2 linked regions of the Canis lupus familiaris genome follow. The protein of the gene in region 1 interacts with the protein of each later gene in a pairwise test. Links are inferred from orthologs where the notes say so. Each region holds a gene or a part of one and is shown on either strand. Other genes may lie near its edges. The genes, in order: UBQLN4 and SPP1.

Region 1 (3,817 bases):
GCATCTTATTCCTATTAAGTCCCTGACCCTGCATAACTCTCTAAAGGAGGACCCACTGCCACACCACTCACAGGCGGACAAATGGGCTGAGCCTATGCAGCCAGGGGGCAGCGGGCCTGAGACACATGCCCAGCAGTCCGGCTGGGGCCCAATCTGACCCGCTGAGTCACTGTCCCCCACAAGCTCCCCTTGTGGCAGCTCCATACCTGAGCAGCAAAGTCGGGGTTCTGAGCAAGCGTCTGCATCATGCTGCGCATGTAGGGAGCTGAGATCACGTTCTGCATCAGTTGGGGGTTTTCAGAGATCTGCTGGAGGAGGGCCTGCATCTCTGGGCTGTTGAACACCCCTGGAACGAGGAGGAAGTCAACGGAACGGAGAAAAGGGGTCCAGATGGAAACCAGATGCCTCCCTCCGCTCTCCCTCCTTGCAATGCTGGGTGCTTCCAAAACTCAGAAGGGCAGCAGGAGCACGGGCTCCCAAGTACAGGGGCAAGGGTCCCTGTGGCTTTGGGCCAGCCCCTTCCCAGCTGCTCTGCTAAGGACAAGCTAGTGGGAAAGTGGGTCTCATTCAAGCCCCCCAGGCTATTCCTGCTGAAGGTCAGGGTTGGAAAGGATCTGATAGAGGTCACCTAGACTCATGGGTTGCAGACTCGTCTTAGTGGCAGAGGCCCCTTCCTCCAACCAGATCCCACTCAAACATCAAATATGCCAACAGTTTGGTTAAAGCCTGGCAGGATGCCTGGAGCACCCCCACTCGGTCCTTCCTCCTCCTGAGGATGGTCCAGACTCCCCAGGACTCAGGAGTATAATTTTAAAGCCACGGATCAGGTTCAAATCCCTTATTTTACAAAAAAGGGAATTGAAGCACACAGAGAGGAAGGGACTTTCTGATCACAGTGTCCCCGCGGGGGTACACACAAATCAAAGACATCCCCAGGGTCACATGTACGATCGCAATCCAGATAAATGGGGCTTCCCCAAGGATTATGCAGTGTGTAACCCCCACTTCTATCCAGAAAAGCTCTGCACATCCCTCTCCCCCCGGGCCTCCTACCTGCCTGCCCCAGGCGTGCCCCAATTCCTCTCCCACATGCCCCTCCCCAGGCCAATCCGTTTACACTGGACAGTTCCAGCAGGGCTGTGAGAGCTCTGGAAGCAGGGCCTGCTTTATTGGTGAGCCATCACTCAGGCTACTTCCACGACAGGAGGACACAGCCCAGTAGAACCCTTTCGTCCTCTGAGGGGTGGAGCTACTCCCCCAGGTGGCTTCAATCCGGTCTCACCTGTCTTCAGTATTCTGGAGCATCGTGAGCCCCAATCAGTCCTGGGGCAGAGGGACTCCCCTGGTGACCCCACTAAGCTCCTTCCACCCTAGGACATACCTGACCCCAGGCTAGCCGCATTGATCCCAAAGGGGTTCGAGACTGTCGGGTGCACCTGGCTGGTCCCCGATCCTCCGGTGCCCTCCCCCCCGGACCCGGGGGCCTGGGAGGTGGGGGGCGAGGGGCTCCAGGGGTTAGGGAGGGGCTCTCGGTTTTCAGTCCGCAGAGGCTGGGAGGACGAGCTGTCGGAGTTCCCGGCCAGGGAAGAGAAGGGATTGTTGCCAAACTGGGAGGAGGGAAAGGTTCTGGGTTAAGGGCTGAAACACACCAGGGGCAAGGGCTAGGCCCTCTGTGTCCTCTCACCTAACGGCTTCCCCTCCCCGGGCAAGGGAGAGGGCTCTGAGACCCGGGAGGCCCTGTGCTCCAGTCCCAGCCGCACAATGGGCAGCTACCCCCTCGTCCTGCAGGGTGGGACCTGGCCAGTGCTGATCACTGGGTCACCGTCTCCCTGGTGGCTCTAAACACTGGTCTCTAGTGTCCTCTGTGCCTGATGGTACTCTATACACGCTCTCCCCGCCATGTAACGACACAGCTGTCTTCCTTAGCTCCTCAGGGACAGAGACAATGTCATCTATGCTCCCCGCCTGACCCCTCTCCTGACGCGAGTAGGTGCTCAATAAGTAACTGTCGGCTTGATGGGAGCTGTGACCTGCCCTGACGCTTCCCCTTTTTGAGCCCTCTTGGTCCCACGGACTCTCCAGACCGTCCCCTCCAGGTCCCCTAAGTGGTATTCTATGTACCCAGGCACACACAGAGGAGCCCATCTCTGGCTGAACATGCCTCACACATGTCTCCTCCTCCCCAGCCTCCTTCCTTTCCCTCAACAGGCCCCCGCTTGTCACCCACTGCACCCCGTTGTGTGGTGTGCTGCCCAAGGCAACCCTGAAACATCCTCTCTCCGGATCCTTGAGCACCCAGGAAAGAGCTCTGTCCAGGGGTGTGTCTGCTGAAAGAGTCTACACCCTACTTCCCTGCTCAGGCTCCCTTTCCTGAGGTCCCGGATGGTCCTCACTTGAGCAGCTTCAGCCCCTCCTCACCAGGGGGTTTCCTGCTCATCAAAGTGGGTCATGGGGCCCAGAGCTCACCCAGGGCCCTCCAGCTCTGAGGTGCACTTCCTCCACCTGACCAGATGTCTACTGAGAACAGGCCAGCAGGCCAGGGTTCGTGTACCACACGGCCCCAGGCTGTCCCGGTTTCAGATATCCTGTCCTGATGACTCACCCTGCTCCCACCACCACTGGGTTCTGCATCCTGCTGTGTTTCTCAGGACGCTCTATGCACCGAACCCCTTTCTGACCTCCCTCGAGCAATAACAGCTGCCACTTATTGAGCACCTACTATGCACCTGGCACGTTTATGCTAATGTTTACAATAGCCCTCCAATATACCAGTTCTCAAAGTGTGGTCCTGGGACCCCTGCGAAGCTTAATGCTGTTTTTATAGTTCTGAGGTGCTATTTCCTTTTTTTCACTTTTGTTGTCTCCGTGAGTGGTCAGTGGCCTCTTCTAGAGGCTATATGACACATGACATTGCAATGGACCAAATGCAAAAGTCAAGCTGGGAGTCCAGCTGTCCTGAAGTAAGCCAGACATTAAAGAAGTCTGCAATTTTTTTTTTTTGAAGTCTGCAAAATTTAAAACAATGCCACTCTCCGCTAAAGTTTTGTTTAGGAAATTAAAGTTATTTTTGAAAAGAATACGCTGTTTACATTAACATATAGTGGATTTGCACTTATTTTAAAACAATAAATAAACACTCCTTAGGTTTCTCAGTTTTAACTTCTGATGCAGTGAATATTGATAGCTCTAACCCAGAAAAACAAAAGCTTTTTGGGGCCCTCAATAATTCCTAAGTGTATAAGGCAGTCCAGAGGCCAAAACAATTGAGAACCACTGCTTTAATACATTGCCTCCAGTTTGGAAATGTGAACACTAAGACTCAGAAAGGTGAAGCACCCCACTTTCGCCTGCACACTAAACGTGGCAGAGAAAGTATTTGAACCTCGGTTTGCTGATGCCAAACCTCTGTTCTTCCAGCTATTATAGTGGGTCGTGCAACTGAGCCTGCATCAGAATTAGCCAGAGTGCTTGTTATATAATCCATCCTCAGCTCAATTTCTTTTTAACCAGATGCATGCATTACTTTGATATACATTTTATTTTTTTTTAAGATTTTATTTATTTATTCATGAGAGACACACACACAGAGAGAGGCAGAGACACAGGCAGACGGAGAAGCAGGCTCCACACAGGGAAGCCCGACGTGGGACTCAATCCTGGGTCTCCAGGATCACGCCCTAGGCTGTAGGCAGCGCTAAACCGCTGAGCCACCGGGGCTGCCCTGATACACATTTTAAACTAAACGTTTAAACATAATTTAAAATAAAATATTTTTTCTTTATATACCTTATTAAAATAAAGTCTTTTAAAAACTCAT
Region 2 (4,319 bases), on another chromosome or scaffold:
AAATCAATTAGAAGACAGACATGCCTATACACACCTACTTGCACACCTAGACACTTGCAGCAAAACATCTCCTAATGTCTTCATTAAGCAATCTACTTTCAGTGACCCCAGAGAACACTACACAGGCCTTTATTCTGTTCATCTGGGATTGAACTCTGTGTATCTTTTAGCCTAAGCTCCTCAGGACAATGCCCATTTGTTGTTTGGCTGGCACAATTTTACCTATTTTGGAGGAGCATGTACATCTATGGTGCTGGTCAAAGAGTTATAATAAAGGGTTTTATTTGGTCTTATGCTCGGTTAGAAAATTGTTATCTAAAGTCAGCTGACAAGCATAATAGATCCAAACAGCATAAAAACCTTTCTTTTTTAATGGGTTTCTTAGCAAATATCTTAGTAGATATTATGAATATTGTGGCCATACAAACTATCCAGTATGTGAGACAAATTTTAAACTTAAAAAAGCGGAGGATCCCTGGGTGGCTCAGTGGTTTAGTGCCTGCCTTTGGCCCAGGGTGTGATCTTGGAGACCCGGGATCGAGTCCCATGTCAGGCTCCCTGCATGGAGCCTGTTTCTCCCTCTGCCTGTGTCTCTGCCTGTGTCTCTGCCTCTCTCTCTCTCTGTGCCTCTCATGAATAAATAAATAAAATATTAAAAAAAATAAACTTAAAAAAGCATGGATGGAATTTTCTATGTCTAGTACAGTATGTTGACTCATGGAAAGAAAAATTCACTTGACTTCCTAGAATTCATTTTATATAAATGACAATGGCCTAGAGCATTATTTTATTATATAAAAGAACTAGTTTGGTGTTAAGAGCATATATTTACTAAAAACTACACAGATCTTCCTCAATTTCCAATGGGGTTATGTCCTAATAAACCCATTGCAAGTTGAAAATATGGTGGGTCAAAAATGCATTTAGTACACCTAACCTACTGGGCATCATAGCACAGCTTAGCCTACCTTAAACATGCTCAGAATGTATACATTAGTTTGTGTTGGGCAAAAGCATCTAACACAAAGCCTATTTTATAACAAATCATCGAATATCTCATTTAATTTATTGAATACTGTACTGAAAGTGAAAAATGGAATGGTTGTATGCATACAGAATAGTTGGAAGCATATTGGTGTTTACTCTTGTGATCCCGTGGCTTGGCTGGATGCTGCAACTCACTGTCACTGCCCAGTATTACAAGAGAATATTGTACCATACATCACCAGGCCCGGAAAAGTTCAAAATTCAAAATTTGAAGTATGATTTCTACTAGCATATGGCTTTCCTACCATCGTAAAGTTGAAAAACTGTAAATGGAAGCACTATAAGTTGGGGACCATCTGTAAGTGTACTTAGCAGGCCTAGATTGAAAGCAGCAGTCAGTAAATACTTATCAATCAACAGCAAGACTATGAAGATAAGTAAAATGGCAACAAATATGTTTGTAGTACCTCTTGTACAGCTGCATATAATTTAATTACATGATAAACCGAAAAGATGCTTACCTGCTTTTCCTCAGAGCTCCCAGAATCAGCGTGCTTAATCTTTGAAATAGAAAAAATGAACAAAGAACAATGTGAATGTGTTCCTAGCACAGGGGAGCACACAATTCATTTATTTTGAGAAATTTCCTTTAAGATGCAGCTGTACTCACCGGAATGGCGTAGGCAATGCCTAAGAGGCAAAAGCAAATCACTGCAATCCTCATGGTGAGTTTTCCTGCAAAATATTTTATAAGGAATATTCGGTTTCTTTGTAGGGTAAAACAGTCATACTTCTTTATGCTACCACATCACAAAATCATTACTAATAAAATATATTTTCTGTAGAATACTTTCTGCCTTTTGGAGAAAACTCTTGTTTCAAACACTATGTTCTTTTGAGTTAATATTTGTAATGCCACCTCTTTATCTCTCACTATTAGGCAAGGGAGAGCGGAATCTCCCAAGTCTATATTCAACTTTAAAATTTAGAATTCCAGGAATTATATCATTACTCCCTGATAGCTCCAGCTATCTCAACCTAAAAACAGATCATTAGTAATTTAACTAAAATAATAAGCTAGTGTTGGAATCTTTATTTCTCAGAGAAGAAAAACACAAAGGGGAAGAAAGAAAATAGAACTATAGAAAGAAACTTGCTTTCTCCATCTTTCCAGCGTGCATTTTAAGTGTGATTTATAACTGAAATTATTAAGAAGGTACCACTTAGATAAAATGAGGCTGTCTCAAAACTCAGTTATTTAAGAAAGGCATTCTAGAAATTTGAAACAGAAACCAAAACATAGAAAATAGTCAACAGCTTTTCTATTCATGATAATAAGTCTAAATAGTGTCATACAGTTATTTTGGTGAAAAATCTAACAGCTAAATACAGAAGTAAATTATTCAGAAGGTTTTTCTTTTCTCTTGAAAATAGGTTGGATACATTAAATCATTAAAACATAGCATTATTATTAGCTTACATTACCACTAAAGATTTTTATCCCTTTAAATGCTTCCACAGCCATCTACCCATTTAAATTAATGTATATAGTTATTTGAAAGGGGCATAGAATTTTTCATTTTTTTTCCTTCTGATTGGAAGAAATAATTTCAGTTCTTTTGAGGACTCAAAGTATTTTTGAGTCCTATAAATGACTGGCTTTTAAAATAACCAGTTACCTTTCCTCCAGGAAATCTGTAACGTATCCCCATGCTCATTTAAAAGCCTAGAACAATTCAAGTCTGCTTAACAGCTTTACAGTTCAATTCCTTTCCTCACGACTTGCCCTTGCCCCTGAAATGAAGCTGAATACACGGGGTAGTGAACTGCGGGCTTACCTTGCTCTGTGGCTGGCTGAGAAGAGAGCCCAGTCTTGGACGATGCTGCACTTCTCTCCTTCTCTTGCTGCTGACAACCAGGACCTCCCAGAATTTAAATGCTGCTCCAGACATTCTCCACCAACACAGGGAGGCGGAGAAATGTGTCATGAGGTTTTTTTGCCACTGCCCAACCCACTTGCTCCCACACTTCCCCTTCTGGTTTTTGTGGTTAAAAAACAAAGAAGCAAACACACAAACTATAGTTAAAACATTACTTGTGTACGATATCATTAACTAGCTTTTTCATTTATGGGGTTGGCATTTAGCATGGTGGAAGGGCATCTAGGGGTCCTACAAAAAAGTGGGGAGGAATGACTAGTTCTTTGAAACAGTCTATAATTTCTGAGCTAGAAGAAAAAAATATTAATATTAAATTAGTCTTAAATAAAATGGAATAGACTTTTGTTTCTTTCAGGTTAAATAGCAGATTAAGGTCATATATGCAACCAAATTTGCCTCACAGATATACTTGTTTAACAGGTGCGAGGCTATCTCTCCTTCAGGTGTATGAAGAGTTCAGAGAGGCCCCCTCCATCCTTCACTACTCAAGCTTGGTATTGTGATTTCAAGTATATAGCAGCTTGTCATTTAGACAAATGACATTACTAACACTAAATTCCATGTTCATGCCCATGTTCAAGTTGGATTTACGATGACCCTTCAAGGACATGAATTTTTGTTGTGCTGTTTGAATTGTTTGGAGGTGGTGAATCAGATAATTTGCTATACAAAATAGAAGAATGGTAATTTACTGTATATACTGCAGAAGTAAAGTAGTTTCTGACTGGGAGCAGTGTTACTGCTTGAGAAGGCTGCTTCTGGGGCCAGAGTGTGGCTTTGAGTCCTACACTGCCACCATTAGCTGTTTGACCTTGGGCAAGTCACTTAGCCTACCTATATTTGTTTCCTCATCTGTCAAATACACACGCTATTATCTAGCTCATGAGGATTGTGAGAAGTTTGAATGAATTAGTATGTGCAAAACTAACAACACTTGGCACATATTATATGCATATTTGAAGCACTGTGTGTGTTAACTATTCCTGAAAGTTTTGGAGAAGCAAGTAGTCATCATTTGTAATATCTTTAAGTGGAATAGGTTATTAGAATGAGGTTAGATGTATGATCTTTAAACTGTGTACATCAATAAGGTAGTTTTCATATCACTATAGGAATAGATTGCTCTATGAATCATTTTTTTTCCAGTTTTTCTCCCACGATATATAAAGGTTTTACTTAATAAATAAAATAAAATTAAAAACATTTTTCCATATTAAAAAAAACTTTACTGGGTATTTAAAAGGTATTTAAATAAAAAAATTACAGGTGACTTTGAATATCAGAACAGAAATTAGAGGTAGCATAGCTCTGATTCCATTTTAAATATTTAATATTGTTTTGAGATTACTTAATTTTCATCTACTTTTCTCAGTTGTGAGAAATGAGGGTTGC

What was found.
Region 2: the proteins of UBQLN4 (region 1) and SPP1 interact in a two-hybrid assay, tested with the Homo sapiens proteins (2 studies listed by BioGRID and IntAct). The link is inferred for Canis lupus familiaris from reciprocal best matches to the Homo sapiens genes UBQLN4 and SPP1.

The regions. Positions count from the first base shown.
Region 1 is NC_049228.1:41,755,986-41,759,802, reverse strand, and holds part of UBQLN4 (ubiquilin-4), read right to left. Parts: intron 1,608-3,817; coding exon 1,382-1,607; intron 347-1,381; coding exon 207-346; intron 1-206. UniProt on the Homo sapiens protein: Regulator of protein degradation that mediates the proteasomal targeting of misfolded, mislocalized or accumulated proteins.
Region 2 is NC_049253.1:28,635,634-28,639,952, forward strand, and holds the start of SPP1 (osteopontin), read right to left. Parts: upstream 2,967-4,319; 5' UTR 2,826-2,966; intron 1,723-2,825; 5' UTR 1,712-1,722; coding exon 1,658-1,711; intron 1,548-1,657; coding exon 1,509-1,547; intron 1-1,508. UniProt on the Homo sapiens protein: Major non-collagenous bone protein that binds tightly to hydroxyapatite. Appears to form an integral part of the mineralized matrix. Probably important to cell-matrix interaction.